Linked DNA regions of Lonchura striata. The main gene of each other region encodes a partner of the protein of the gene in region 4 in a complex. Links are inferred from orthologs where the notes say so. Each region holds a gene or a part of one and is shown on either strand. Other genes may lie near its edges. The genes, in order: ASDURF, PFDN6, DNAAF10 and PDRG1.

Region 1 (7,479 bases), on a different chromosome or scaffold from region 4:
CTGCTCTTTGGTGGCACCAGCAGAAGAGCTTCCAGCATCCAGGCACCAGGCTTCCATCTTCATACTGCAAACAAAATATTTGTTTTGTAAGACACAGCATTTGATTTTTTTAAGGTCCCTGAACATTCCACTGCTCAAAATGTGTATCTGGAACTCTGATCCCATATTCAAAGTAGTTACTGCAGCAAACCTGTGCATTGGTTATTCAGAGTACGTGAGGGACTGCCCTGCAACAGACAACCCCAAATCTCATAGTTCTGCATTTCTAAGTGAAACTAGCACTAACATGAACTTAACTCTCTTAAAGTCTAACAAAGTGCACAACAAATTGTTCTGCACTAAGGAAGGAAAAATTATGAAAATTAAACGTCAAACTGTCTTCTCAGCTACAGCAACATAAGACCTTGAGAAAGGCTCTCATTAGAGCTACTTCAGTTTTATACTGTAGAACAGAGTGAACTTGGAAACGTCTATTTTTAAATCCACTCATACTTAAATCACAGATGAAAGACTGCTGGGAGTATTTTACAAATAAGTTGTTTGGTTCAGTACTTTCAGAAGCTTTGAGAGATGCAATCAGATTGTCAAAAACTAATGAGAGACTGATGATAGTTCTCAGCTACTTTGACAACAGCCTTAAAATCTTCCATGTGAAAGTGATGAAATTCTGCTTCTAATCATAAAATGAATAATTTAATACTTGTGAACTACATAGATTTTTTGTGCAAATGAGTTCTAAGATTGCTTTGACAGTGTATCAGAAGTTAAGTGCTAAAAAAACTGACTTCAACACCGTAAAAGTGCTCAGACTTCTTCTTTTATTTGTGGTGACAGGACTTTTAAAGTAGAATGATTATAGGTTTTGCAAGGTTCCTTGTGTCATTGACAATCTAGGTACTTAACCTAAGGAAACAAACTACAACTTTGCCTAGATTCCAGATAACCGGGTGTGTAAGTTAACCTAACTTCCTTCAAATCCTGATGTCTCAGAAGAATTAGCAAAAGGTTTACCATAAAGCAAACCCAACTATTTTCAACTATTTTCGTTTTCTTAGACTGGTATAAATTAGCAAATTATTAAAATACAGGTTCAACTGTGAAATTAACACAGCTTGATGTTACAAATCAGAATCTACTTATTTGGATTATGGTGATACAGTATCTGAATACAAAATAAGCTAGTGTCAGAACTGAGGATGCTCCAAAACAGAAAAAAACCTATATAAAAGCAATATCCTCTGACTGTGCTGCTCTCTCCTCCTAAGAGACTTCATCCACCTGTCTTACATGGCTGGCCCCACTCTTGACTGTCTGAGCAGCCAGCACAGCTTCAGCTTGCTCTCTTGTGGCCAACATTAGAGCTACAATTATCCTATTCCCCTCCAAGCACCTCTGTGACTGGTTCTTCTAAAGCATGACAAGTTTCCTCAGAGTACAATCACTTACAGGTGAACCTCATAAACCACTCAGAGTTGAACCCACAATTGATTATGGTGGCTTAACATGTTCCCAAGCATCAGCTGAGAGATACAGAATTGAGTGCATGAGGATTTCCAGCCCACAGCAAAAACCAGGGAAACTTTGAGGCTGCTAAGCCTCCAAGGCAGTATCAGTCCTACCCTGTGCCTCACAGCTGGAAAATCCTCTGACACAAATATACTGTCAACATCATGAACAGAGGTCTTCAAGACTTGACAGTGTTATCACAAGGATGGCCTCACCTCTTCAGCATGGTTTTAGCAGCAGCCTTTTGGAGCTTGAGCTTGGTTATTTAAAGGTTACTGTTTTGGCCATGCATTTGCTAACAGGTCACTGCAACTTCAGAGATTTTCTGGCATCAGTAACTACTTCTGGTTTTTAGCTGTTTAAATGACTTGTTGGGTAATTTCTGTTATTTAAAAAATATTTTTAAAGATGCCAGATACTGAAAGGTGAGGGCTTTAAAAGACTGAAATATTATTTGATACTTTATTAACATTGTATCGGGCATTGTTAACCTCCAGAAACAGTTTTATGCTAGTAAAAGAAAAATAGTTTAGAGCACCGAAGTTGGCACAAGTGCACAGACACAAGCAGAATGACCAGAGATGTATCACTGAATGACATTTCCTGCTTAGCTGTCAGCCAGATGAGCTCTAAGTGCCCTCCCCAGCTCTCAGGAGTAACAGTGCAGGCACATTGCAACACCAGAACTGCAGCAGCCCTGAAACAAACTTGAATGGAGAAAATACTGCTCTGCGCAGGGAGTGCAAAGGTGCCAACATTTCCCTTTGCTGACTTGCAAACACAGCGGGTCTTATAGTGGGTTTGACTGTAATTTCAGGAGTGATCTTGTGACATGAATTCATTCATTTTAAAAGGAACTGTCAAAAGCCCACTCCATATCAGTAGAAGAATCATTAAAACCATTCCACATTTGCTATTATGCCTCAAAACCATTATCATCACTCTTCTGAAACAGTCAATAACACTGAGTGATCAGGTTTTGATTAATAAACATTAACAGCATTTATTACTGAACATAAAAAGGATAATCAGTGCAGAAATTACACTTTGACTACTGTGTTACTTGATCATCAACCTTTGTAACACATGAACAACAAATAAAACTTGGGCAGCAGAGGGTTGGGAGTAACTCAGATTAAACACATTACTCACTAGAACAACCAGTGACAAACTACAAAGCACACTGAGCAATAGCACCAAAACTGATCTATGTGACCCAGATATGTGAATTTCTTATAGAAGTCAAAGGACAAGCCCCAGAACCATTCCACCCCCTGGGTAACAACTCCCCAGCAGCTTCAGCTGCTCTGCTTTGGGACTGCTGGAATCACAGAGCACTGTGCACTGCTGAGAAAAACAGATCAGGTCCCTCACCTGTCCCTCACACAGCCCCACACCCAGCCGTGGTGAGGCAGGGCTGGAGGCACAAGTGTGTGCTCAGAGGTGGGGGGAAGAGCAGGAATGACCTTTCAGACAAGTGTAACCTCAGTTTCTCTTTCTGTTAAAAGCAAATAAGCACAACTTTTGCAAGTTAGTATATTGACAAATATTCCTATAGCCAAATTGTCTTTCTTCATCCTTCTGCTAGGAGCCAAAATCCTTGTTCTTCCTATACGGCTTCCAAAAATTTTGATCAACATTACAGACATTCCAACCAAGCTCATGGATACAACCAAGGTGCAATCTTGCTCACAAACTCTAAGTTACCAAAATATATAATATATATGATTATGTGAGATTAAAGAAAATAAAGGCAACACTCTCTTACTACAGTTGCAAATATTTCAAATGGTTCATGAAAATTTGAACTATATTTGCACTGCAGTCAGTACCACAAGGACCACAAGTGGGATAGAAATCTCATAAAATCCTATAACTGAGCAATCGGTAGCAGTCTGTAAGTTTGGATTACTCTTGAGTGTTTAGAATAATATACAATGTTTAAAAAGAAGGAAAGGTATTAAAATGAGACAATGATGTATTTATTAAGACACGTAGACATATGCATCACTGTGACATATCTATAGCAGAATGGAAGAGACAAAGAAACGTTAAGATCACCTTAGGTGGACGGTCTTAAACATCCATCTTGTATAATAATAAAGTCATAGAATCCTGGAATGCTTTGGGTTGGAAAGGACTTCAAAGATTATCTCATTTCAATCCCCTGCAATGGGCAGGGACTAGACCAGGTGTCTCAGAGTCCTGTGCAACCTGGCCTTGAACACTTGCAAGGATGGAGCTGCCACAGGTTCTCTGGGCAACTGTGTGTCTCACATCCCCCGTGTAAGCAATTTCCATCCATCCAGTATCTAACCTAAATCTGCCCTCTGCCAGTTTTAGTCCATTCCCCCTTGTCCTGTCACTACATGACCCTCTAAAAAGTCCTTCTCTTTCTTGTAGAAACATATGCTAATAATGAACATAATGAAACATACGATCCTAATGTCTGTAAATAGTGTAAATTCATATCTCTTCTGGAATACCTTTAAGCAAACCGCTTAAAGGGGTTTGAGAGCCCGCTGCCGACAGTAGCCCGGGTTCACACCACACCAAGCCGACACGCTGCACAAGGAGCACAGCTGCCAAGCCTCATTCCAAGCGTCTTCTCCACCTTGGGCCTGTGCCGATGCCCTCCCGGACCGGCTCCCAGGAGCTCCGTGGGCACGGCACGGCACGGCGCGGCACGGCGCGGCACGGCGCGGCACGGCGCGGCACGGCGCGGCCGCCGCACTCCCGGCTCCGCCCGGCCGGGGGCGCGAGCTCCCTCAGCACTCGCGCCGGCCGGCCCGCGCCCCGCGCGTGCTCTGCCGCGCCTGCTGATTGGTGTCCCGTCAGGCGCGTGCTCTGCCGCGCCTGCTGATTGGTGTCCCGTCAGGCGCGCGCTCTGCCGCGCCTGCTGATTGGTGTTCCGTCAGGCGCGTGCTCTGCCGCGCCTGCTGATTGGTGGCGCTGTGCGCGCGCGCGCCCCGGGGCGGCAGCTGCGCAGGCTGCGTGGGCAGTGCGGCTGTCGGCGCGGTCGGGGCCATGTCGGGCCGCCCGGCGCGGCAGGAGGATGGGGAGAGCGCGGCGCTGCGCCACAAGGAGGAACTGAGCCGGCGGGTGAGGGGAGGCGGCCCCGCGGGGCCCGGTGCCGGGGTCCGGGCCGAGGCGCGGGGGCTCCTGGAGCCTGCTGCCTCGGGTGCGAGCAGCGTGAGGAAGAGGAGGGAGGGTGCCGTCTGGGACCGGGGCTCCTGTGCCCGGGGTTGCTCAGGCCCCGAGAGCGGCCTGCATTTAGCGAGCCCGCGTTGCCTCGCTAATAGCTCGCTCGTCGGATTGGTATTTTGGATCTTACTGCTCCAAATTGAGCTTGAAATGGCAAGTGAGGCGCACTGAGGGTTTTTTCACAGAATATCATGAGTTTCAAGAGACGTCTAGTGGTCGAGTCTAACTAACTCTGGCGCTGCGGAGAACACCCCAAGAATCACACCGAGGGCCTGAGCACGTTATCCAAAGGCTGTTTGAACTCTGTCATGCTGGTGCTGAGACCACTTTCCCTGGGGAGTTCAATGCCTAATCACCCTCTGGGTGAAGAATCTTTTCCTTGTATCCAGTCTAAACATCCCTGACCCTGCTCCAGGCCGTTCTCTGTGGTACTGTCACTGGTTACCAGTGAGAAGAGACCAGTGTCTTCCTCTGCACTTCCCCACCTAAGGAACTTGTAGACTGCTGTGAGCTCTCCCCTTAGTCTCCTCCAAGCTGGACAAATCAAGTATCCTCACCCGCTTCTCAAATGGCTTCATCTTTATCCTTGTTCATCATTATCTGCCCAAAATGTCTGAAGATATTTCAGCCATAGAGGCAGATGCTCCTAATTTATCTGTTCCTTCCTTCCTTGTCCCCACAGCTTTGTTCAGTATGCAATCTGCCAAGCCCTGTGGAACTTTCACTCCAAAAAAACCTCATATCAATTTACCTGTATTCCAATAGAGACTACAGGGAAGCCAGAGAAGGGGCTTTTTGTCAGGAACTGTAGTGGTAAGACAAGGAGTAATGTGTACAAATTGAAAGAGGGCAACTTTGGGTTAGATACTCGGCAGAAATTTTTTGCTGTGAGAATGGTGAGGCACTTACACATTTTGCCCCGAGAAGCTGTGGATGCCCCAACCCTGGAAGTGTTCAAGGCCAGGGTGGATAAGGCCTGGAGCAGCCAGGTCTAGTGGGATGTACCCATGGCAGGAAGCAGGTTGGGTCTAGATGATCTTTAAAGTCCTTTGCAACCCCTTAATATTATGTGATTATATTAAAATAAATTACTTCTGTGTGGCCATGTATAGACAGTGATGCTTTTAGTTGCTTGGAAGCTACAAAGCTGGGACATCAAAGAGCTACAGGTTTTCACTTCTGTTGTGCCTAAGTGGCTGGTTTAGTCTGGCAGAGGATGGCTCTGCTGCTTTGCCTTGTTGGTGTTGTAGATACCAGAGATTGATGTAGCTGCTGGAAAAGTTGTAACTTTCAGTGTGCCATACAGTTTGGCTGACCTCACTCCGTGGCAGCTTGCTACTGTTGTACCAGTTCCAGGAGACACAAAGGAAGAGCAGAGAAACCCATGTTTGCTTCTAACAAAAAGCATTGTGCCCTCTGAACAGATTTTGTTTCAATTTTTGGCATTTGCAACTTCTTCTGATTACTCTTTAGCTGTGAACTCTTTAGTTCACAGCTGCCATTGTAAAAGAAAATGGGAATATCTGCCACATCTGTCAGTGCAGAACAGAGTGGTAAATCCCACTAAGGAAGTTAATATAGAAATCTAGAGCAATAAAAAGGCTCCCATTGCTCCTAATACAGTTCTAGAGTGTTTGTATTTTCATTAATTTCCTTTTGAATCTGGAGCATACCTATCATTATGAAGTGTATTCTTGATATTATGCTAATTTTTAAAAGTTATTTGATGTTTTATTAGTTGTGTACATGTTCTCTTCCGAGGGGGGGAAAATGTGCTCTCTGATTATAAATAGCTGTAGCTACTCTGGCTTCCCAGAGGCTTTTGAGGGGAGGAGAAATACCAATATATGCAACATAGCCTGTTTCTAGAGAAATTAAGTATGTAATTTTTATACTTACTTTGTCTTCATTGATTCATGTGGAGAACAGCAGCTATACATGCATGTTGCTGTCTTAAAATATCAGTAGACATGCTCACCACTGGGATTGTGATATGATGTCTTGTCTTTATCATTAAAATCAAATGCATCTTTTGGCTTTCAGATTAAAGAGCAGAAGGTTGTAGTTGATGAGCTTTCTAATTTGAAGAAGAACCGGGTAAGGATTTACAAATTTGCTTTTAACTATTTAATTTCAGCAGAGAAATTAAAACATAAAGACAAGAAGGACAACAAAATCAGAGCATGCTGTCTTTAATTTGTTGTAATCTGGATTTTAATAAACATGTGGTCTGCTGTGCTCAGAATAATTTGTCCTGCAAATTATTTGATCATGTATACTTGGGGCTTTTTTATGTTTTGAGTTATTTCATTAAAATTTTTGAGTTTATTACATGGATTCATGAGGTATTCTTACTTTTTCTATGCTTTTGTTTAAAATAGAATGTGATCCCTTGTGGATGAGGAAAAGAGAAATTCAAAATTGTCTTAGGCTGAGCATTAAATGCTTTTGATAGTACAGCATTAGAATGCTGGTGTTCACAGGGCAGAACTTACACCTTCACTTTTATACCAGGAGTGTCTCTTTGGACCCACAGCAGCTTCTGCTGCAGTGTGGTTCCAGAATCTGCTGCTTTGACTTAATACAGTGTGGGTTTTGTTTTACAGAAAGTTTATAAACAGCAACCCAATAGCAACATATTCTTCCTTGCAGACCGGACAGAAATGCTGTCTCAGTGCAAAAGTAAGTTTGCAGTGTTCAAGTATCTCAAATAGTTAATGTTTAAAAGCTTATTTGTAGCTGATTTGAAAGGTGTATTAAAATGAGAAA
Region 2 (7,711 bases), on a different chromosome or scaffold from region 4:
CAAAATCCCCCAAAATCGGGGTTCATGGGGACCCCAAAATCCCCCCAAAAACGGGTCAGGGGAACCCCAAAATCCCCCCAAAATTTTGGGGGGATTTTGGAGGATCCCAGGGGGGATTTTTGGGGTGATTTTTGGGGGTTTTTTTGGGGTTCCCAGGGCAGATTTTTGGGGTGATTTTTGGGGGGATTTTTGGGGGGATTTTTGGGGTTCCCAGGGCAGATTTTTGGGGTGATTTTTGGGAATTTTTGGGGGGATTTTTGGGGTTCCCAGGGCAGATTTGTTGGGTGATTTTGGGGGATTTTTGGGGTGACTTTGGGGGTTCCCAGGGCAGATTTTTGGGGTGATTTTTGGGGTGATTTTGGGGTTCCCAGGGCAGATTTTTGGGGTGATTTTGGGGGATTTTTGGGGGGATTTTTGGGGTTCCCAGGGCAGATTTTTGGGGGTATTTTTGGGGTTCCCAGGGCAGATTTTTGGGGGGATTTTTGGGGGCATTTTTGGGGTTCCCAGGGCAGATTTTTGGGGTTCCCAGGAGGATTTTTTGGGTGATTTTGGGGCTCCCAGGAGGAATTTTTTGGGGTGATTTTTGGGGTTCCCAGGGCAGATTTTTTGTGGTGATTTTGGCAGATTTTGGGGGTGATTTTGGGTGATTTTTGGGGTGATTTTGGGGGTTCCCAGGAGGATTTTTGGGGTGATTTTGGGGGTTCCCAGGGCAGATTTTTGGGGTGATTTTGGGGGATTTTTGGGGGAATTTTGGGGTTCCCAGGGCAGATTTTTGGAGTAATTTTGGGGCTCCCAGGAGGAATTTTTTGGGGTGATTTTGGGGGTTCCCAGGGCAGATTTTTTGGGGTGATTTTGGCAGATTTTGGGGGTGATTTTGGGGGTTCCCAGGGCAGATTTTTGGGGTGATTTTGGGTGATTTTTGGGGTGATTTTGGGGGTTCCCATGGCAGATTTTTGGGGTGATTTTGGGGGATTTTTGGGGGAATTTTGGGGTTCCCAGGGCAGATTTTTGGGGTGATTTTGGGGCTCCCAGGAGAAATTTTTTGGGGTGATTTTGGGGTTCCCACGGCAGATTTTTGGGGGGATTTTGGGGGATTTTTGGGGTGACTTTGGGGGTTCCCAGGGCAGATTTTTGGGATAATTTTGGGGCTCCCAGGAGGAATTTTTTGGGGTGATTTTGGGGTTCCCAGGGCAGAATTTTGTGGGGTTTTTTGGGGTGAATTCAGGGGTTCCCAGGGCAGATTTTTGGGGTGATTTTGGCAGATTTTGGGGGTGATTTTGGGTGATTTTTGGGATGATTTTGGGGTTCCCAGGGCAGATTTTTGGGGTGATTTTGGGGGATTTTTGGGGTAATTTTGGGGCTCCCAGGGCAGATTTTTGGGGTGATTTTAGGGGTTCCCAGGGCAGATTTTTGGGGTGATTTTAGGGGTTCCCAGGGCAGATTTTTTGTGGTGATTTTGGCAGATTTTGGGGGTGATTTTGGGTGATTTTTGGGGTTCCCAGGGCAGATTTTTGGGGTGATTTTGGGTGATTTTTGGGGTGATTTTGGGGCTCCCAGGGCAGATTTTTTGTGGTGATTTTGGGTGATTTTTGGGGTGATTTTGGGGTTCCCAGGGCAGATTTTTTGTGGTGATTTTGGCAGATTTTGGGGGTGATTTTGGGTGATTTTTGGGGTGATTTTGGGGCTCCCAGGGCAGATTTTTGGGGTGATTTTGGGGGATTTTGGGCTCACCTTTCTGCAGCTGTTGGTATTTCTCCAGCTCCGCCTGGAGCTTCTTCTGCAGCGGCTCCGCCATGGGGGCGATTTTGGGGGGCTGGGGGGGAATTTGGGGGCGATTTTGGGGGGCTGGGGGGGGTTTGGGGTCACCCCCCGCACCCCCAAAATCTCCCGTGACCCCTCAGAGACCCCCCCCAAAAAAAACAAAATCCAGGAGCCCCCAAAAAATCCAAAGCCCCAAAAATCCCAAATTCCCAAAAATCCAAACCCCACCCAGGACACCCCAAATTCCCCTCGAGACCCCCAAATTCCCCTCGGGACCCCCCCAAAATCCCCTTAAGACCCCCCAAATTCCTCTGGGGACCCCCAAATTTCCCTCAGGACCCCCAAATTCTCCTCGAGACCCCCCAAAATCCCCTCGGGACCCCCCAAAATTCATTCAGGACCCCCAAAATCCCCTCAAGGCCCCCAAATTCTCCTCGGGACCCCCCAAAATCCCCTCGGGACCCCCAAAATTCATTCAGGACCCCCAAAATCCCCTCAAGGCCCCCAAATTCTCCTCGGGACCCCCCAAAATCTCCTCGGGACCCCCCAAAATCCGCTCGGGACCCCCAAAATCCTCTGAGGTCCCCCAAAATCCCTTGGGAACCCCCAAAATTCCTCTCTGGATCCCCAAAATCCCCTCGGGACTCCCCAAAATTCTACTCGAGACCCCCAAAATCCCCTCGGGATCCCCAAAATCCCTTTGGGACCCCCCAAAATCCCCTCAGGACCCCTCAAAAATTCATTCAGGACCCCCAAATTCTCCTCAGGACCCCCAAAACCCCTCCCAAGACCCCCAAAATCCTCTCGGGACCCCCAAAATCCTCAGGGGACCCCCAAATTCCCCTCGTAACCACCCAAACCCCTTCAGGATCCCCAGATTCCCCTCGGGACCCCCGAAAACCCACTCGGGACCCCCAAAATCCCCTCGAGACCCCCAAAAATCCTTCCGGGACCCCCAAAATTCCCCCCAGAACCCCCAAATTCCCTCGCGGCCCCCCCTCAAATCTCCTCCTGCCCCACCCAAACCCCCCCAAGGCCCCTCCAGGACCCCCCCGCATTCCCAGGGGGACCCCAAGACCCTCCCGGGACCCCCAAAAATCCCCAAAATCCCCAAAAATCCCCCCAAAATCCCCCCTCGCCCCCCCCCCGTTCTTCACCCTCCGCTCCGCGCGCGGCCCCAACGCCTCGAGCCACGCCCCCTCCGCTCTGCGCATGCGCCGCAGCCCCAAACCACGCCCCCTCCTCTAAGCCCCGCCCACCGCCCCGTTTATGCTAATTATCCCGCCGTGGCCACGCCCCCTCCCCGCGCGCCGCCCGCCGCCCGAGCGCGCCCCCCCCCCCTCCCCCGGGGGTGGATTTTGGGGCGGATTTGGGGGTTTTTGGGGCCCGCCGGAGGTGAGAGGAGCGCGGGGAGGGCTGCGGGATGGGCCCGAGGCGGCGCAGGTGGCGGCGGAGGGCGGCCCGGGCGGCGCTGGCGGCGCTGGCGCTGGCGCTGCTGTGGCTGCAGGGCAGCGGCGCGGGCGAGGAGCTGCTGGCGGCGGCCCTGGCGGCCTGCGAGGAGGGGCGGGGGGCGTGGGGGGCGTGGGGGGACGGGGGAAAGCGGGGGGTGGGCGTGGGGGGCGCGGGGGGTGGGAGTTGGGGGGGCGAGGGGGTGAATGGGGGGCGTGGGGACGGGGGGGCGTGGCTTGGGGGAGAGGGGGCGTGGCTTGGGGGAGAAGGGGCGTGGCTTGGGGGAGAGGGGGCGTGGCTTGGGGAGGGGGGCGCGGGGGTTGGGGATGAGCGGGGGGGCGCTGGGAAATGGGGGCCGGGGGTCCTGAACGGCAGCTCGAGGGTCGAGGGTTGGGCTGGAAATGGGGGTCCCGGGGGTAGAATTGGGGGTCCTGCAGGTGGAAATGGGGGTCCCGGGGATAGAATTGGTGGTCCTGCAGTTGGAATTGGGGGTCCTGCAGTTGGAGTTGGGGGTCCGGGGGTTGGAATTGGGGGTCCCGGGGTTGGAATTGCGGGGCCTGACGTTCAAATTGGGGGTCCCGGGGGTGGAATTGGGGGTCCTGAGGTTGGAATTGGGGGTCCGGGGGTTGGAATTGGGGGTCCTGCAGTTGGAATTGGGGGTCCGGGGGTTGGATTTGTAGGTCCCGGGGGTGGAATTGGAGGTCCCGGGATTGGAATTGGGGGTCCCGGGGTTGGAATTGGGGGTCCCGGGGTTGGAACTGGAGGTGCCGGGATTGGAATTTGGGGTCCGGGTGTTGGAACTGGAGGTCCCGGGGTTCTCCTTGGTGGTCCCGCGGTCAGAACCGGCGCTCCCCAAACCCCCCCCGGCTGCGTGGGTCTCCTGTCGGGGGGCTCCGGCGTCCTCCCCGCTGCTCCCGGCGGCTCCCCGCTCACCCCCCGAGTCCTGCTGGCCCCGGCGCCGTGCTCATCCCCGGGCCCGTTCCTGCTGACGCTGGTCCCCAGCGCCCCGGCTCACCGGCAGCACCGCGCCGCCGTCCGCGACACCTGGGGCGGCCCGTGGGACCCATCCCGGGGCGACACCGGCGCTCCGCCCGCCCGCACCGTGTTCGTGCTGGGCTCCCCGGAGGATCCCCGCGACCAACCGGAGCTGCTGGCCGAGTGGCGGCGGCACGGCGACGTTTTACAGGGCGACTTCACCGACACCTACGGCAACTTAACCATCAAAACGCAGCTGCTGCTCCGCTGGGCTCTCGCCTGCTGCGGGAAATCGCCGTTCCTCCTCAAGGCGGACGACGATTCTTTCCTCAACATCCCGGCGCTCTCCGCCTTTTTGGCCGCGTGGCGCTCTCCGCCGCCTCGCCTTTACCTCGGCCGCGTCCACTGGCGGGTGGAGCCCAAGCGGGACCCGCGGAGCCGCCACCACGTCCCGCGTGGGGTGTACCCGCGCCGCCGGTACCCGCGGTACTGCAGCGGCGCCGCGTACGTGCTGTCGGCGGCGGCGGCGGGCGCGGTGCTGGCGGCGGGGCGGCGGCTGCCGGCGGCGCTGCCGGAGGACGCGTGGGTCGGGGCGGCGGCGGCGGAGGGCGGCGTGGCGCCGCGGCACTCGGCGCGCTTCGGCGGAGCGGCGGGGCCGCCGGCGGAGCGCTGCTGCCTGCGGGGGGCGCTGTTCAGCGCGCACCGGGTGCGGCCCGAGGGGATGCGGCGCCTCTGGGAGATGCTGGGCCGGGGGTGCGCGGGGCGGCCGGGGGTGATGCGGTGTCGGCTGCGGGAGGCGCTGGCGGGGTGGGGGTGGGGAGGGGGGGGGGGGAGTGACGGTAGAGGGGAGGGGGTGACGTCAGAGGGGAGGGGGGTGACGTCATGAAGGGAGGAAAAAAAAAAAAACCAATCCATAAGGGGATGGGGTGCTCCCCCCCCCCCCTCCCCAAAGCTCGTGTCTGGGGGGATACAGAGGTTGGGGGTGTGACGTCATGGGGAGTGACGTCATCAATGAGGGGAGTGACGTCATGGTGGGGGACACCCCCCCTCCATAAGGGGATGGGGTGCTCCCCCCTCCCTCCCCAAAGCTCGTGTCTGGGGGATACAGAGGTTGGGGGTGTGACGTCATTTGGGAGTGACGTCATCAATGAGGGGAGTGACGTCATGAAGGGGGACACCCCCCCAAACCTCGTGTCTGGGGGGATACAGAGGATGGGGGTGTGACGTCATGGGGAGTGACGTCATGAAGGGGGACACCCCCCCAAACCTCGTGTCTGGGGGGATACAGAGGTTGGGGGTGTGACGTCATGGGGAGTGACGTCAGAGGTGAGGGGAGTGACGTCATGAAGGGAGAAAACATCCCCCCCCCCTCCATAAGGGGATGGGGTGCTCCCCCCCCCCCAAAGCTCGTCTCTGGGGAGGTACAGAGGTCGGGGGTGTGACGTCATGGGGAGTGACGTCATCCATGAGGGGAGTGACGTCATCAATGAGGGGAGTGACGTCATGGTGGGGGACACCCCCCCTCCATAAGGGGATGGGGTGCTCCCCCCCCCCAAACCTTGTCTCGGGGGGGATACAGAGGTTGGGGGTGTGATGTCATAGGTGAGGGGAGTGACGTCATGAAGGGGGAAAACCCCCCCCCCCATATAGGGATGGGATCCCCCCCCCAAAGCTCGTGTCTGGGGGAGGATACAGAGGATGGGGGTGTGACGTCATGGGGAGTGACGTCATGAAGGGGGACACCCCCCATATAGGGATGGGATCCCCCCCCCAAACCTTGTCTCTGGGGGGATACAGAGGTTGGGGGTGTGACGTCATTTGGGAGTGACGTCATCAATGAGGGGAGTGACGTCATGAAGGGAGAAAACATCCCCCCCCCTCCATAAGGGGATGGGGTGCTCCCCCCCCCCCAAACCTTGTCTCTGGGGGGATACAGAGGTTGGGGGTGTGACGTCATAGGTGAGGGGAGTGACGTCATGAAGGGGGAAACCCCCCCCCCCATATAGGGATGGGATCCCCCCCCCAAACCTTGTCTCTGGGGGGATACAGAGGCTGGGGGTGTGACATCATGGGGAGTGACGTCATGAAGGGGGAACCCCCCCCCCCCATATAGGGATGGGATCCCCCCCCCAACCTCATGTCTGGGGGGATACAGAGGTTGGGGGTGTGACGTCATGGGGAGTGACGTCATGAAGGGGGAACCCCCCCCATATAGGGATGGGATCCCCCCCCCAAACCTTGTCTCTGGGGGGATACAGAGGTTGGGGGTGTGACGTCATTTGGGAGTGACGTCATCAATGAGGGGAGTGACGTCATCAATGAGGGGAGTGACGTCATGGTGGGGGACACCCCCCCTCCATAAGGGGATGGGGTGCTCCCCCCCCCCCCCCAAACCTTGTCTCTGGGGGATACAGAGGTTGGGGGTGCGACGTCATGGGGAGTGACGTCAGAGGTGAGGGGGTGACGTCAGAGGTGAGGGGGTGACGTCAGAGGTGGGGAAAACCCCACCCCCCCATAAGGGGATGGGGTGCTCCCCCCCCCCCTCCCCAAAGCTCGTGTCTGGGGGGATACAGAGGTTGGGGGTGTGACGTCATGGGGAGTGACGTCATGAAGGGGGACACCCCCCCCCCAAACCTCGTCTCTCGGGGGATACAGAGGTTGGGGGTGTGAGGTCATGGGGAGTGACGTCAGAGGTGAGGGAGTGACGTCATGGTGGGGGACACCCCCCCCTCCATAAGGGGATGGGGTGCTCCCCCCCCCCAAACCTTGTCTCGGGGGGGATACAGAGGTTGGGGGTGTGACGTCATAGGTGAGGGGAGTGACGTCATGAAGGGGGAAACCCCCCCCCCCATATAGGGATGGGATCCCCCCCCCAACCTCATGTCTGGGGGGATACAGAGGCTGGGGGTGTGACGTCATGGGGAGTGACGTCATCAATGAGGGAGTGACGTCATGGTGGGGGAAACCCCCCCTCCATAAGGGGATGGGATCCCCCCACCCCCCCCAACCTCATGTCTGGGGGGATACAGAGGTTGGGGGTGTGACGTCATAGGGAGTGACGTCATCGATGAGGGGAGTGACGTCATGAAGGGGGACACCCCCCCATATAGGGATGGGATCCCCCCCAAACCTCGTGTCTCGAGGGTACAGACATTTGGGGTGTGACGTCATGGGGTGTGACGTCATAGGTGAGGGGAGTGACGTCATTATGGGGGAACCTCCCCTCCCCCCCCAAACCTCGTGTCTGGGGGAGGATACAGAGGTTGGGGGTGTGACGTCATGGGGAGTGACGTCATCGGGAGTGTGACGTCATAAGTGAGGGAATCCCCCCCTTCTGCAGACCCCGCCCCCCCCCGTGTTTGGGGGTGACGTCACGGGGGTGTGACATCACGGGGTGTGACATCACAGGGGTGTGACATCACGGGGGTGTGACGTCATAGGGTAGTGACATCATGGGAAATCCCCCTGGGGATGGGGGTGACGTCATGGAGCAATGACGTCACAGGTGGGGACACGCCCCCCCCCG
Region 3 (6,895 bases), on a different chromosome or scaffold from region 4:
ACAGGCTGGGGACAGAATGGCTGGACAGCAGCCAGGCAGAAAGGGAGCTGGGAGTTCAGCTGGCAGCTGGCTGAACACAAGCCAGCAGTGTACCCACATGGCCAAGGAGCAAATGGCATGCTGGCCTGTGTCAGGAACAGTGGCCAGCAGCACCAGGGAAGGAAGGCATTCTGCTCCTGTACTTGGCACTGGTGAGGCCACACCTTGAGTATCATGTCAGTACTGTTTTGGGCACACCAATTTAAGAAGGACTTTGAGATGCTCGAATGTGCCCAGAGAAGGGCAGCAAGGTGATGAAGAGTGTGGAGCAAAAGTGATGAGAAGTGATGGAGGGAGCTGGAGGGATTTAGGCTGGAGAAAAGGAGGATCAGGGGAGACCTCAGCACTGTCTAGAGCTGCCTGGAAGGAGGGTGTAGCCAGGTGGGGGTCAGCCTCTCCTCCCAGGCAACCAGCAGCAGGACAAGAGGACACAGCCTCAAGCTGCACCAGGGAAAGTTTAGGCTGGGTATTAGGAAGTTCTTCACAGAAAGAGTGACTGGACATTGGAATGGGTTTCCCAGGGAGCTGGTAGAGTCACCATCCCTGGAGGTGTTTAAAAAACGACTGGATGTGGCACTCAGTGCCCTGGTTTAGTTGATAAAGTCATAGCTTGAACTTGATGATCTCCAAGGTCTTTTCTGACCTAGTTAATTCTGTGATTCTGTGAGTTTTGCACAGACTGGAGGTTATTGGCTTGGGCTTAAGAAAAATGAGCAGAGTCTACCAATGCAGAGGACCTCAGAGAGAGGATATTGCTTTATGCTTGCCTATGTTCTCTGTTTACGTGCTGTTTGACGGCTACTTTTTTATCCAGCATTATCTTAAGTAACTGGATGTCTACTCCAGTCACAATTCTAGAAAACATTGATTTCTAGAAAACCACCTAAGGATTTTTCTCTTTATTTCTTACTGAAATTTGCAGAGAGGCCAGGGACAGATCAGTAAAGTGGAGCAATCTCTCACAATCTGGTTGTTGGGAGACTCACCTCTACTTGAAATCCAAGTATGAAGGCTTTCACAAAATCAGCTGCTTTCGTCAGAGCACTGAGATCCTTTGTCTCTTGACAAGTCTGCAAGACAAGAAGTTATGTTTGCAAATTAAGACCAGGCAAGTTAGGAGCAGAACTTAGAAGTGATCAGCCTGTGCTTGGAGGGGAGAGAAAAGCTGCTGAAAATCCACACCACCACTGACTGAGTAGAACTCTTGGTGGAGAAAACCCAAAACCAACACAAACTAAACTCCAGCAGCAAACAGCAGGAAAAAGAGAAGGATGGTGATGGCAGGAGAGTTATTCTAATGACAATATTCTAAATATGCCTTAGCAGGTGAATGAAATTAATTTCAAAGTTTTATATTCATGATAGATATGGGCAAAATGAAATCAGTGAATCGTATGTCAAAACTTTAGATATGCCCTTAAAAACTCTTGGTGTGAACATTCCTCAGGAGGAATAAGGATAAAGAATGAGCATCTACAAGATTTACAGGTTTATACTGCTGTCTGTGCCCTAAGGTATTCCAGTGCAATCCATTAAAGAAAAAGCACATGCTATTAAACTATGAGCCCTTATCATCTGCCACAAACAAAGGCAGGAGGAGATTCAGTGCCCCCATGTAAGATACTGTTTACTGTCAGGTCAATATTTGGTAACCTTAAATAGCCAGAAAACATTGAATTACAAAGTCATATCTAAGACATGGATGAAAATTCTTCTTAATGTACACAACTTTCTATAGTACATAACTTTCTCCTACAAAAACAGAACACTCTCCCAGCTTCTGCTGGCTCCTTCTGGAACAGATTTGGATTTTACTTGCACTAACTACTAAGCAATCATTTTCAGATTTTGGTCCCCAGGGAGGTGACACCACACAGTTTCCATTTTTCCAAGCATTATGTGGGATTTACGACTTCTCTAGTCTTTACCCTGCGGACCAAGAACACACATGAGGAGAGGCACTGCTTTTCAGGAGGCAGAATTGTTATAAGTGAAAGATCCAATTTATTAATTTAAGAAAATCTATTAAATGCATCAAATATAAATTTATAGAATAACAAAAAAAAAAAAAAACAAAAAAAGAAAAGCCATTATAAAAAAAAAAGGTCAGTGGTGAGCCCGGGTGTTGGCGCTGAGTGAGACACAGGTTTGACTGCTGCAGTAGAAGGTTTCCTATGCTCCCAGAATTTGGTATTGAGATGTATCTCCCTGATGGCTCTGGCTATCTCAATTTCGGATATTTATCACATATTTATCGTCCGGGTGTTCCTTGGACCACCTTGATGGGTGATCCATCTCCGGGCTGGCCACGTTCAATTGCTTGTGAATGGAGTCCTCCCTCTTCTGTCCAGGTGGTTTTGACATTGTTTTGCAATCCTTGTTGCTGGCTTGAGTTTTAAAAACTTCTTGTAAGACTATATCTTAACATTTATAATTATAAAATATACGACAATTTTATTTGCACAAATTATCACATGTAACAGAATCAGAGAATGGTAAGGGGTTGGAGTGGACCGTAAAACCACCTAGTCCCAACCCCCTGCCACGGGCAGGGACAATGTCTCTAAACCAGGCTGCTCAAAGCCTTATCCAGCCTGCTTTGAACAGGGCTGGGGTAGTCCCGGGCAACCTGTCCCAGCGTCTCACCACTCTCACAGTAAAACAAGTCTTCCCAACATCTCCAAACTAAACTTCCCCTCTTTCAATTTGTAAACGTGACTCCTTGTCCTGTCACAAACAGCCCCTCTCCAGCTCCCCTGGAGCCCCTTCACACAGGGAAGGAGCTGCGAGCTCTAACACAACCTTTTCCCACCGGGGAAAGCCCCAAGGAGCCGCTCCCCTTACCTTGATCTCAACATTCCTCGTTTTCAAGTTGAACCTGATCTGAAGCTGCAGATGCTCCACAATGGGCGTGAATATCTTCATCCAGTTCTCCTTGAGCGGCGTGTACCTGTTGGCCGGCACGGGGATCTTCCTCAGCTCGCCTTTCCCAACCTGCGGGGGGGCGAGACACAGCCGGCCGTGAGTCGGGGCCGGGGGGCGGCGGACACGCGGGGCCGGCGGGCGGACACCCGGAGCCGGACACGCGGGGCTGGAAGCCGGACACGCGGGGCTGGAAGCCGGACACGCGGGGCTGGAAGCCGGACACCCGGGGCCGGGAGCCGGACACCCGGGGCCGGGAGCCGGACACGCGGGGCTGGAGGCCGGACACGCGGGGCCGGACACCCGGGGCCGGGGGGCGGACACCCGGGGCCGGGAGCCGGACACGCGGGGCCGGCAGGCGGACACCCGGGGCCGGCGGCCGGACATGCGGGGCCGGGGGGCGGACACGCGGGGCTGGAAGCCGGACACGCGGGGCCGGCAGGCGGACACGCGGGGCCGGACACCTGGGGCCGGGGGGCGGACACGCGGGGCTGGAAGCCGGACACGCGGGGCCGGCGGGGGGACACCCGGGGCCGGGGGGCGGACACGCGGGGCTGGAAGCCGAACACGCGGGGCCGGCGGGCGGACACGCGGGGCCGGGAGCCGGACACCCGGGGCCGGGAGCCGGACACCCGGGGCCGGGAGCCGGACACGCGTGGCCGGCCGGAGTTTCCCCTCGCCCCGCGTACCCCGAGCGCCTCGGCGGGCACGGGCGGGAATGCCGGCCGCTTGCTGGGTCGCGGCTCCGCCGTGTCCATGGCAGCTGCCGCCGCCCGCTCGCCGCCCGCCCGCCGCTTCCTGCGGCTGCGGCGGGACACGACGCTGGTGAAGCCGCCGGCCGCGGGCTCGCCGCTCTCCATGCCGAGCCGGACGTGGTGCGGCTGTCGGCGGAAGGGGGCGGCGAGTGTTTCCGCCGGCAGCCGGCGGGGAAGGGGAGGGATGTCGGCGGTGCTGGGAGCGGAGCGGCCGCAGGTGGTGTCGCACGTCCAGCAGGCGCTGAGCTACACCGTGTTCGACTGCAAGTGGGTGCCGCGCAGCGCCCGGCTGCTGTGCCTGGGCAGCGCCGCCCGCGGCACCGGCGTGCTGCAGCTGTACGAGCTGAACGGAGCGCGGCTGCAGCTGCTGCGGGAGGTGAGCGCCGGCTCCCTCGGGACCGGCTCGTCCCCAGCCCCGGCGGTGAAAACGCAGGAGCCGACCCGCGTGTTGAACGCCCCGGGATGCGCTGAGCGCTCCCCGCAGCTCCCCGGAGGGGCGTGCCGGGTGGGAGCCTGACTCTTCTCCCCGGCAACTACAGCCGCGGAGGTTTCCATTGGCTTTGGGAAGGATTTCCGCACGGAAGGGGGGATTAGACATTGGAATGGGCTGCCCAGGGAGGTGATGGAGTCACCGTCCCCGGAGATGTTGAAGGAAAGGCTGGATTTGGCACTCGGTGCCTTGGTTTAGTTGGCAAGGTAGTGGCCGGTGCTAGGTTGGACTCGACCATCTCAAGGCTCTTTTTCAGCCCAACTGAGCCTGTGGTTCTGCGATTTTGTTTACTGCTGTGTTTTGTAGGTTGTTTTTATGTGTTTTGTTATGGTTTTTTATGTGTTGTGTTATATGAGTTATTGCCTGAGTTTGTTTTTTGGGTTTTTTTTGTGTTCTTTCGTTTGTTTGGGTTTATTTTTTTATTCGTTGTTGGAGTTTGGTTGGATTTTTGATTGGGTTTTGGGGTTGTTTTTGTATGTTTGCTTGCTTGCTTGTTTGTTTCTTTGGTTGATTTTTTTCTCCGAGATTGACCTTTGAGTGTTCACTTCTGAGGCTAAACAGTTCCTCAGGTGCATAACGCCCACTAGGCTACAAGCAAAATATTTGCTTTAGACCAGCAACCTGGACCCTCTGCTTTTCTGTGCACAAGGACTGAACTCAAACTTGCCTTCAATAGCATTTTATTAGTATTTTGCACCAAATATCCCCTTGTGTTTCGCTGACACTTGCCCCAGTGCACTCCTAAGATCCGCGTAGCCTGTGGATGATTTTGCCTTTTCCGTGTGCTGACACAGACATTTCCTTTCTTTAAAAGATTGAAAAGCCCAAACCTATAAAATGTGGGACTTTTGGTGCTACATCTCTGCAGCAAAGATACTTAGCTACAGGAGATTTCGATGGAAACCTTAACATATGGTAAGCACAGATATTCTCTGGAAGCGTTTTCACTTGATGTTGTCCATGTCTGTCTGAACAGAGGTTTCTGTTTGTGGATTTTTGCATGAGATGCTCTCCATGCTGCCCGTGGTTGGGACCCAGTGCAAGCTTTGCTGGCTACTGTATTTGAACCATGCCTGTTTTGTAGAAAAAACACAGAATTCTGCATTATTGTTTAATTCAGTCCTGCTTCACTCCCATCTTCTTTGTGCAGCTACAAAAACCTGATAAAGTTCTGGGAGGTTGTCCTCTGAAAAGAGGGTTTTAAATGGATGCATGAGTACAAACAAGAGGTTGTGTTCAACCTAAATTTCCTGTCTAGATTAAATATATCTTTTTAATCTTGACATATCAAATGTTTCCTCTAGGTCCCTGAATTATTGGTGTAATTAATATCTAGGTAAATTTATGATCAAATTAAGTAGTAGTGTCAAAAGGAGATTTTTTTATTACCATCATTATTATATTGCCCTGTGTCAAGGAACTACTGGTTCTTGTTGGAATAGCAAGAATTACATGGACAGTTACTAGCTGAAATGTAAAATAAAATTCTGAAAGATTCTCAAAGAATGGGAATCTGTGGGAAAGAACCATGAAACTTATGGCTGGATACAACAATATTCACTGAAGTTAGAGAGCAGTAGTCAGAGCTAGGTGGGGATCAATGAATCAAGTTATTTTATAGACCTACTGAAAGTACAGATACTTCTGTACTTCTTTCAGGTCTATGTACTTTTTACAGAGTATCTTGATCTGTAGTGTGATTCATTTTTGAGCCCAGCGTGTAAAACTGGCTCTGAGTGGCTGCTGTGGTGAATCCCACAACTGCCTTTACAAACAGGGAGGTCCAGAACAGAGCAAAATCTTTTGGAGCAGTCCAATGTAGTAGCCAAAGAAGGAATCAAAGACTCGTGGTTCTTGGTGGTGATATCCATATTTGTTCTCACTGTTAATCTGAGCTTTTATGATTTGTGCTCAAGTTTCCTTTCATTTTTATACAAATCCTGAGTGTCAAGGAAAAATGCCATGTTTTCTGTTCTTTTTCTTTCTTGCCTAGGAATTTAGAAGCTCCTGAAATACCAGTGTATTCTGTGAAAGGTCATAAGGAAATCATAAACAGTATAGATGGTGTAGGTGGCTTAGGAATTGGGGAAGGTGCACCAGAAATTGTGACTGGCAGTCGAGATGGTGAGTTAGTGAACTCTGCAAGTCTTCCCAGTTCCTCTGAGCCTGCAAGCTCTTGATGGCAGGGCACAGTCTGCCATCTGAACTAGTTACAAGCTGTTGCAACTAGTTCTTTGCACACTGTCTCTTGAATCTTGCTTGGGACTGATTTTCCCTAATTCTTCTAGAGCCACAGATAAGCAAAAGGTACTGTTGTCACTGGTCGTGAGACAGAAGGAACACAAACCATGATAAATGCAAAATATCAGCTAGAGAAAATGCATCCTTAACAAATGCTTTCACTCTGTTTCTGTTTGGTTTTGTGGTTTTTTTCTTATATCCACAAAACAAAGTGAGGCTTGCTAGAATTGAAAGAGATGCTACTGTCTTTTGAATGATTAGGATGGAAAGCAAAGGGCTTTTCTAGGAAGGTGAACACAGTATGACTGTATTCCTAATAGAAAATCTATTGTCTTTCTTTCCCAGGAACTGTGAAGGTGTGGGACCCAAGGCAGAATGACATTCCCGTGGCTAATATGGAATCTGTACAGGGAGAGAGCAAAAGAGACTGCTGGACTGTGGCATTTGG
Region 4 (6,003 bases):
TGCCCGTGAGTCCAGGCTTGGGCCGAGGTCCGGGTGGGTGGGGGCGTGGGTGCTTCTTCTCCCCTTGGGCTGAGACACGACCGCAGACCTCCAAAGCCCTGCCCGATGCAGCCAGAGAGGCCAGCAGGGACTGGCTGGGCTGCACCTGAGCCCTGCTTTGGAGGGAGACTCATAGAGTCATCATAGGATGGTTTGGGTTAGAAGGGACCTCAAAGATCAATTTGTGCCAACGCCTTACCAAGGGCAGGGACATCTTCCACTAGACCAGGCTGCTGAAAGAAGTTGTATCCTCTTTGAGAAGACCAAAGATGGGGTTTGGGAGTAGGCTTTCGTTGTTCCCGAAATGAAACTCGTGAAAGAGTTACATATGTTATTCCCCAGCCTTGGGAATGTCCCTGAAAGTGAAGTACCAAGGCCACTGGAGTCTGGGTGCACAAGAGCCCTGACGCTGCCCCGCTCCGGCGCTCCACCTCTCCGCTCGCTGCCCGCGGCAGCTCGGACACAAGGTGTCGGGCAGAGCGAGGGGCCGCACCCCGGGACAGGAGCTCAAAGGAGGAGCAGCGCTGTGCCGGCATCCCTGGCACTGCTGGGCGGGAAAGGGCTGCGAGGGAAAGGGCTTCCTCTCCTTTGTGGCGGGTCTCCAGGGAGGGTGACTGCATACAGCAGCTGCCTCCTGGAGGCAGCCCCAGCCCCCAGCCCCCGAGGCTCAGCCTGGTGCCTCTGCCTGCGGAGGAGCCCGGCTGGAGCCCGGCCCGTGGTCAGCACGCCGTGCCACATGGAGAGGAGGAGGGTGTTTGATCCCGGGAAACACAGCTAACTTCCAAATCCTGCCTTGTAGGATGGCCAGAGGGATCAGCACAAACCGGGGGTGGGGTAAGCCTGCATTCCTGGGATGAAATCCAGGGGGTGAAGATGTTACTCAGCACAAGGCAGTGGCCGGGCCCTCGGCAAGGCTCTCCCCGTGCTGCATGTATTAGCATCGATAATGAAACACCTCACCTTGAGATGCTCCTGACAGATCCCCTCCACAAATGCCTGCCTGGGGGAGGGGATGCTCCCAGCATCCCAAAGCCTGAAGAAAGCAGCCTTTCATCAATAACCAGGCAGGGCAGGGCCCCTTCCAAGGATGGGGTCCACTGGCCAGAGCCCCTGTCAATATTTGGCCACTCCAGACCTCTTTGGGCTTGGTCCCTGGGGGCTCTCTGTCTTGGCTGGGTGATGGAGCACAGACCACGTTACCATGACGGTGGGCACAGCGCCAGGGAGAGGGGACTTGGAAATCAGGGAGAGACAGACCCACCTTTCTCCCCTGACCCTGAAACACCCCCTCTGAAGCAGCAGTTAAAGATCCACAGCCTGAGAACATGGAGACCGTGGTTTGAAGTCTGATTTATCTTAACAACAGGCCCCAGCAGCCACATGAAAGAAGAAGAGAGAAAAAAAGCCTTATAAACATCCCTGAAGCTTCCTGTGCAGCTGCCAGCAGGCAGGGAGGGTTTCTGGCTGCATACAGAAAAGGGCTGCAAGGAAGAAAAAGGAACATGATGAAACCAAACCTGCTCTTTCCACAAAACACACAGCAAAGCAAAGCAGCTCCCGGCAGCGGGTGGGTGGCTGCTTCCCCTGAGTGCCCAGTTCCCAGGGAACTGGTCCAAATGGACCTCTGGTTCCAGTCTGAGTCCAGCCTCCAAGCAGAATGTCTGCCCCTGGTGCTGGCTCCAGGAGGAGAAATCCATGATGATTTGTGGCTGGCTCAGAGCTGGCTGGGGAGAGGCCGCAGAGTGCAGCACCAGCCACTTCTCACTGCCCTGAGAACGTTTTCCAGATGCCCATGGCTTGGCGATCCCTCAGCTGTGCTTCCCCCATGCCTGTGCTGAGCTGGAACCCACTTTCCCAGGGAGAGCAGCCCCTGCCCTTCCATGCAGCCCAACATTCCTGGCAAAACCCTGTCTTCACTGCACTGTCATTGGCAACCCCAGAGTCACTGTTTCTTTCCACTGCTGCCAGGACACAGCCAGCCTGCTCCCATCCCTGTTCCCATGTCACATCTCATCCCATCCCCATCCCCATCCCCATCCCCATCCCCATCCCCATCCCCATCCCCATCCCCATCCCCATCCCCATCCCCATCCCCATCCCCATCCCCATCCCCATCCCTCCTGCCCAGACTCTGAAAGCCCTCCCTCCTTCCTGCTTTTTCAGATCTCCAGCCAGCTGCTCCCACCGACAAATGAGCATTTCCTAGCATTGGCATCCAGCCCCAATCCCAGTACATTTTCTGGCTGATGTCAGGAAGGAATCTAACCCGAGTGTGGATCATTCCCAGCCTGGAGTGCCTGTGTGTGCCCCAGCAGTGGCTCCCACTGCTCCCCTGAAGCTTCTGTACTTCATTTGATGCAGCCACAGACAGAGATCTCAGTTAACTGAAACAAATGATCTTATGGGATTAGGGCCAGTAATCTTCCGATCTGGGTAATCTCCCTTAAGGGATTATTTGCCCACAGAAGTGTGGTGACCACCAGCCAGCTGCTGCCTTTCTCTCTCCATCCCTGTCCCCTGTGGTCCTCATCTCTGGCAGCTCAGAGGGGCCACAGCAGTGGGGTCACCACCTTTGCAGAGCTCCTTGTCAAATGAGTTTCATGAAGTGCATGTGCCAGGGCCCCCAAGTGCTGGGGCTCCTCCTCTCCCCAGCCCCTATTTGCTGCTTCAGGCAGGTTCTTGGGGCTCCCTCCCTTGGAAGCACTGATCTAAAGCAGATCAGAGGTCCCCCCACTATCACCAGGAAAGCAGCAGCTGGGGGGCACAGCCATGGTGGCAGAGATGGACAGCTGGGGACAGGGCTGCATTCAGAAACTTGAGATGCTGTTTCAAGGCTCTGTCCAGAGAAGGGACATGGGACATGAGAACCCATGTGCCCTGTTACCCGCCAGCCCTGGGTGTGCTCCTGGGGGCCCCTTTCCCTCTGCAGAGTGCACACGGTGAGGGTCTACCAGTCCTCACCATCAGTGCTGTGTCTCTGCATCTCCCACACCCCATTTTTGCAGCTCCTCTTGCTCATGGCTGGGTGGGGCAGAAAGAAAGGGATAAAAAGGATTTTGAGTGGCAATATATTTGCCTTCCTGCAGGCAGGGGTGTTCAGAGCAGCAGATGGATATGGTCGCCTGCCAGAGCATTCCCGGGACCAGCCCTTGCCTGACACAGACTGGGGGGCACCGGGGCTGGCTGAGGGTGAGTCAAGCTGCCGGGACCACAATTGGATCCAGTCCCTGGGGATGGCAGGTCCTGGACGCTGAGCTACAGATGAGCCACCAGCTGCACGAAAGGAAACCTGAGCTAATCGCCCCTCTCTGAGTGCCCTTTATTGCTTTCTGGGATGACAGAGAGGTCACCTGATGCTCCAAGGGCCCAGCTGCCAACAGCGGCACCGTGCTGGGAAAGCAGCGAGGAAGAGGAGACAGACGGCGGTGCTGGGGGCGAGGGGATGGGCTGTGAAAAGTGATAAATAATTCACACACAAAGGGACCAGGCAGGCCAGGGCTCTCAGCCCCTGTCCCTCAGGGCTGTGCCGAGCGGGGTGGGTTGGGGGCCGGCGACGGGGCCGAGACCCCCACTCCGGGGCTCGGTGCCACGCGGCCACACCGAGCCCTCCATCCTTCTGCCGGGCACAGAGGCAGCGCGGAGCCAACCGCGGCACCGCTAGTCTGCACTACGGAGGAGACCCCGCGCTGGCAGCGGGCACGTCCGTGCCAGTGCCAGCCCACGGCCGTTCCCGGCCGCTCTCGCCCCACGCGTGTTCGCGGCCCGTCGGTCCCGCCGCTCCCCGGCGGCGCTCCCGGCGGCGGCCGCCAGAGGGCGCGCTGAGCCCGGCGCCTCCGCCGCGGAACCGCCCGCGCGGCCGCGGCGGCGGCCCGGAGCCGGACGGCGGCGGACCCGGAGCGGCCCCGCCATGGCCCGGGACCCGGCCTTCGTGCTGCGCTACCTGGCCGAGGTGGAGGAGCTGGCCGAGGACGTGCTGGCGGCACGGCAGCAGGTACGGCCCGGCTCCGGCGGGCCTCCCCCGCCCCGCTCTGGCCCGCCGCCGGTAGCCCCGAGTCCCGGCCGCTCCCGCCTCTCTCGCTCCCGTTGCAGATCGTGGACCTGGACGTGAAGCGGAACCGCAACCGCGAGGCCCTGCGGGCGCTGCACAAGGACCCGGAGCCCGACGGTGAGGCCGGGCGGGCTGCGCCCACCGTGACCTCGTGGCCGCGGGTCGGGCTCCGCTGACAGCCCCTTCCCTTCCCTTCCCTTCCCTTCCCTTCCCTTCCCTTCCCTTCCCTTCCCTTCCCTTCCCTTCCCTTCCCTTCCCTTCCCTTCCCTTCCCTTCCCTTCCCTTCCCGCAGAGAAGGCCATGGTGTGTTTCGGGGGCATGTTCATCGAGCTGCCGAAGGCGAAGACCCGGGAGATGCTGCAGCAGGGTGAGCTCACCCCGAGGGCTCCGTGTAGCTTTAAGTGATTTAATCAGCACCGTAATTAACAAGATGTTGGCTCAATTAACGGACTTGTGCCCAGGGATGGGCTCTGAGGTGCCCAGAACCTCTCGAGAGGCTGATTCTGGCCCGAGCTGTGCCTTGGGAAGCACACGGGGAAGCTGCTCAGCCCCGGGGGTGGTGCAGGCAGGGTGGGACTCCCCTGTGCCTGTGTTGTGTCCCATGGGAAATTGAGCCTTCATCCCAGAGCCCACCGCAGTCCTCCTCACTCCCTCCTCTTATCCCAGACCAGGCAGAGCTGGATGAGGAGATAAACAACCTCCGGAAGGAGCTGCGGGTGAAGGTCAACCGGCTCTATGAAGCTCAGGGTAAACTCTCCCGCTGGAACCTGCTCAGTGCTTGGGAGCTGACTCGTGTATCAGCAGATTCCTTAGTTCCATGTGTTCCTGCAGCCTCTTTTCCACTGGTTTTGCAGTTCCCTCCCTGCCCCAGCAGCGTTGTTTGTCTCTGTGTGGAGCTGCCACCCAGCAGCATCCTAAACCCCCTCCAACCCTGTGCTGGGGTGACCCCACTTCAGCTTCCCGGGCTGTCCCTGCCCTCCCCACAGCCCCTCTCGAGTTGAACATGAACTGCTGCACTTCTTTGGTGACAAAATCCTGATGTTTTCAATGTGTTTTCTCAGGTAAACCTGAGCTGAAAGGGTTTAACCTGAATCCCATGTCTGCTGAGGAAATGAAGCTCATCAACCGCATCCTGGAGGGCTGAGGTGGCTGTGCCATTGTCACAGCGTGTTTGGCTGTCACTGTGGGCTCATGTTGCAGCAGCCACAGTCCTTGGGATTTGTAGGACGTTGGAGTGTCCAGAGCCCACCCAGGTGAGGGCCCTGGGAATCCTTTGCCTCCTCAGCTGCAGCTCTGCAGTTTCTTTGGACCACAAACCCTTTCCTGCTCTGTGCTGGGTCTTAGCACAGTGCTGGGCAAAGGCCCACAGCTGGGGTGGAAGTGGGATCATTAAAATCAGAGCAGTGAGACATTCCTGACTCCATGTGCATGTTCCTTGTTGGGGGTTTATGTGAACACTTCTGGGGCTTGGCTTCAGAGCTGCTCCTTTGTCACGCTGGGAACAGGAGTAGGAGGGATTGGGAATCCTCCACATGCCTGAAGCACAGAAGAGGAGTTGTGCACGCCTGTGGCATTCAAACAAAGCAAAGCTGTACATCTGAGGCACGTCAGGAATCTCTAAGGATGTGTAGGGAGGAGCAGGAGGAGGCAGCATCCTTTTAGTCTTGCTGGGAAAACATGTTCCACTGTTGGAGGGCAGGAGATGACAGAAATGAGGCTTTCAGGACTGGATGAACTCATAAAACTGGGGTATGTTTTAAAAAGCAGCCTGAGGAGGGCTGAGCAGGAATAGTCACTGAGTTTGTCTTGTAGTAAAAGGACAATTGATGTCATTAGTAGTAGTTTCTGCAAAGGTTTTAAAATTTGCTGTTTCTGTGCTCCTCCAAGTGATTAACTTGGTCAAGAACATAAGTTTT

The links.
Region 1: PDRG1 (region 4) and ASDURF share a complex: the UniProt entries of both Homo sapiens proteins name them as parts of the PAQosome complex. The link is inferred for Lonchura striata from reciprocal best matches to the Homo sapiens genes PDRG1 and ASDURF.
Region 2: PDRG1 (region 4) and PFDN6 share a complex: the UniProt entries of both Homo sapiens proteins name them as parts of the PAQosome complex. The link is inferred for Lonchura striata from reciprocal best matches to the Homo sapiens genes PDRG1 and PFDN6.
Region 3: PDRG1 (region 4) and DNAAF10 share a complex: the UniProt entries of both Homo sapiens proteins name them as parts of the PAQosome complex. The link is inferred for Lonchura striata from reciprocal best matches to the Homo sapiens genes PDRG1 and DNAAF10.

The regions. Positions count from the first base shown.
Region 1 is NC_134610.1:30,857,951-30,865,429, reverse strand, and holds the start of ASDURF (ASDURF protein), read left to right. Parts: upstream 1-4,459; 5' UTR 4,460-4,533; coding exon 4,534-4,608; intron 4,609-6,753; coding exon 6,754-6,807; intron 6,808-7,316; coding exon 7,317-7,392; intron 7,393-7,479.
Region 2 is NC_134631.1:618,041-625,751, reverse strand, and holds the start of PFDN6 (prefoldin subunit 6), read right to left. Parts: upstream 3,016-7,711; 5' UTR 2,976-3,015; coding exon 2,919-2,975; intron 1,814-2,918; coding exon 1,732-1,813; intron 1-1,731. UniProt on the Homo sapiens protein: Binds specifically to cytosolic chaperonin (c-CPN) and transfers target proteins to it. Binds to nascent polypeptide chain and promotes folding in an environment in which there are many competing pathways for nonnative proteins.
Region 3 is NC_134605.1:2,910,367-2,917,261, reverse strand, and holds the start of DNAAF10 (dynein axonemal assembly factor 10), read left to right. Parts: upstream 1-3,882; 5' UTR 3,883-3,900; coding exon 3,901-4,092; intron 4,093-5,020; coding exon 5,021-5,121; intron 5,122-6,199; coding exon 6,200-6,330; intron 6,331-6,792; coding exon 6,793-6,894; intron 6,895-6,895. Other genes in the region: RNA-binding protein PNO1, read right to left, coding at 1,026-1,109, 2,884-3,033, 3,651-3,821. UniProt on the Homo sapiens protein: Key assembly factor specifically required for the stability of axonemal dynein heavy chains in cytoplasm.
Region 4 is NC_134619.1:7,630,342-7,636,344, reverse strand, and holds PDRG1 (p53 and DNA damage-regulated protein 1), read left to right. Parts: upstream 1-3,900; 5' UTR 3,901-3,946; coding exon 3,947-4,030; intron 4,031-4,128; coding exon 4,129-4,204; intron 4,205-4,379; coding exon 4,380-4,454; intron 4,455-4,753; coding exon 4,754-4,834; intron 4,835-5,148; coding exon 5,149-5,231; 3' UTR 5,232-5,498; downstream 5,499-6,003. UniProt on the Homo sapiens protein: May play a role in chaperone-mediated protein folding.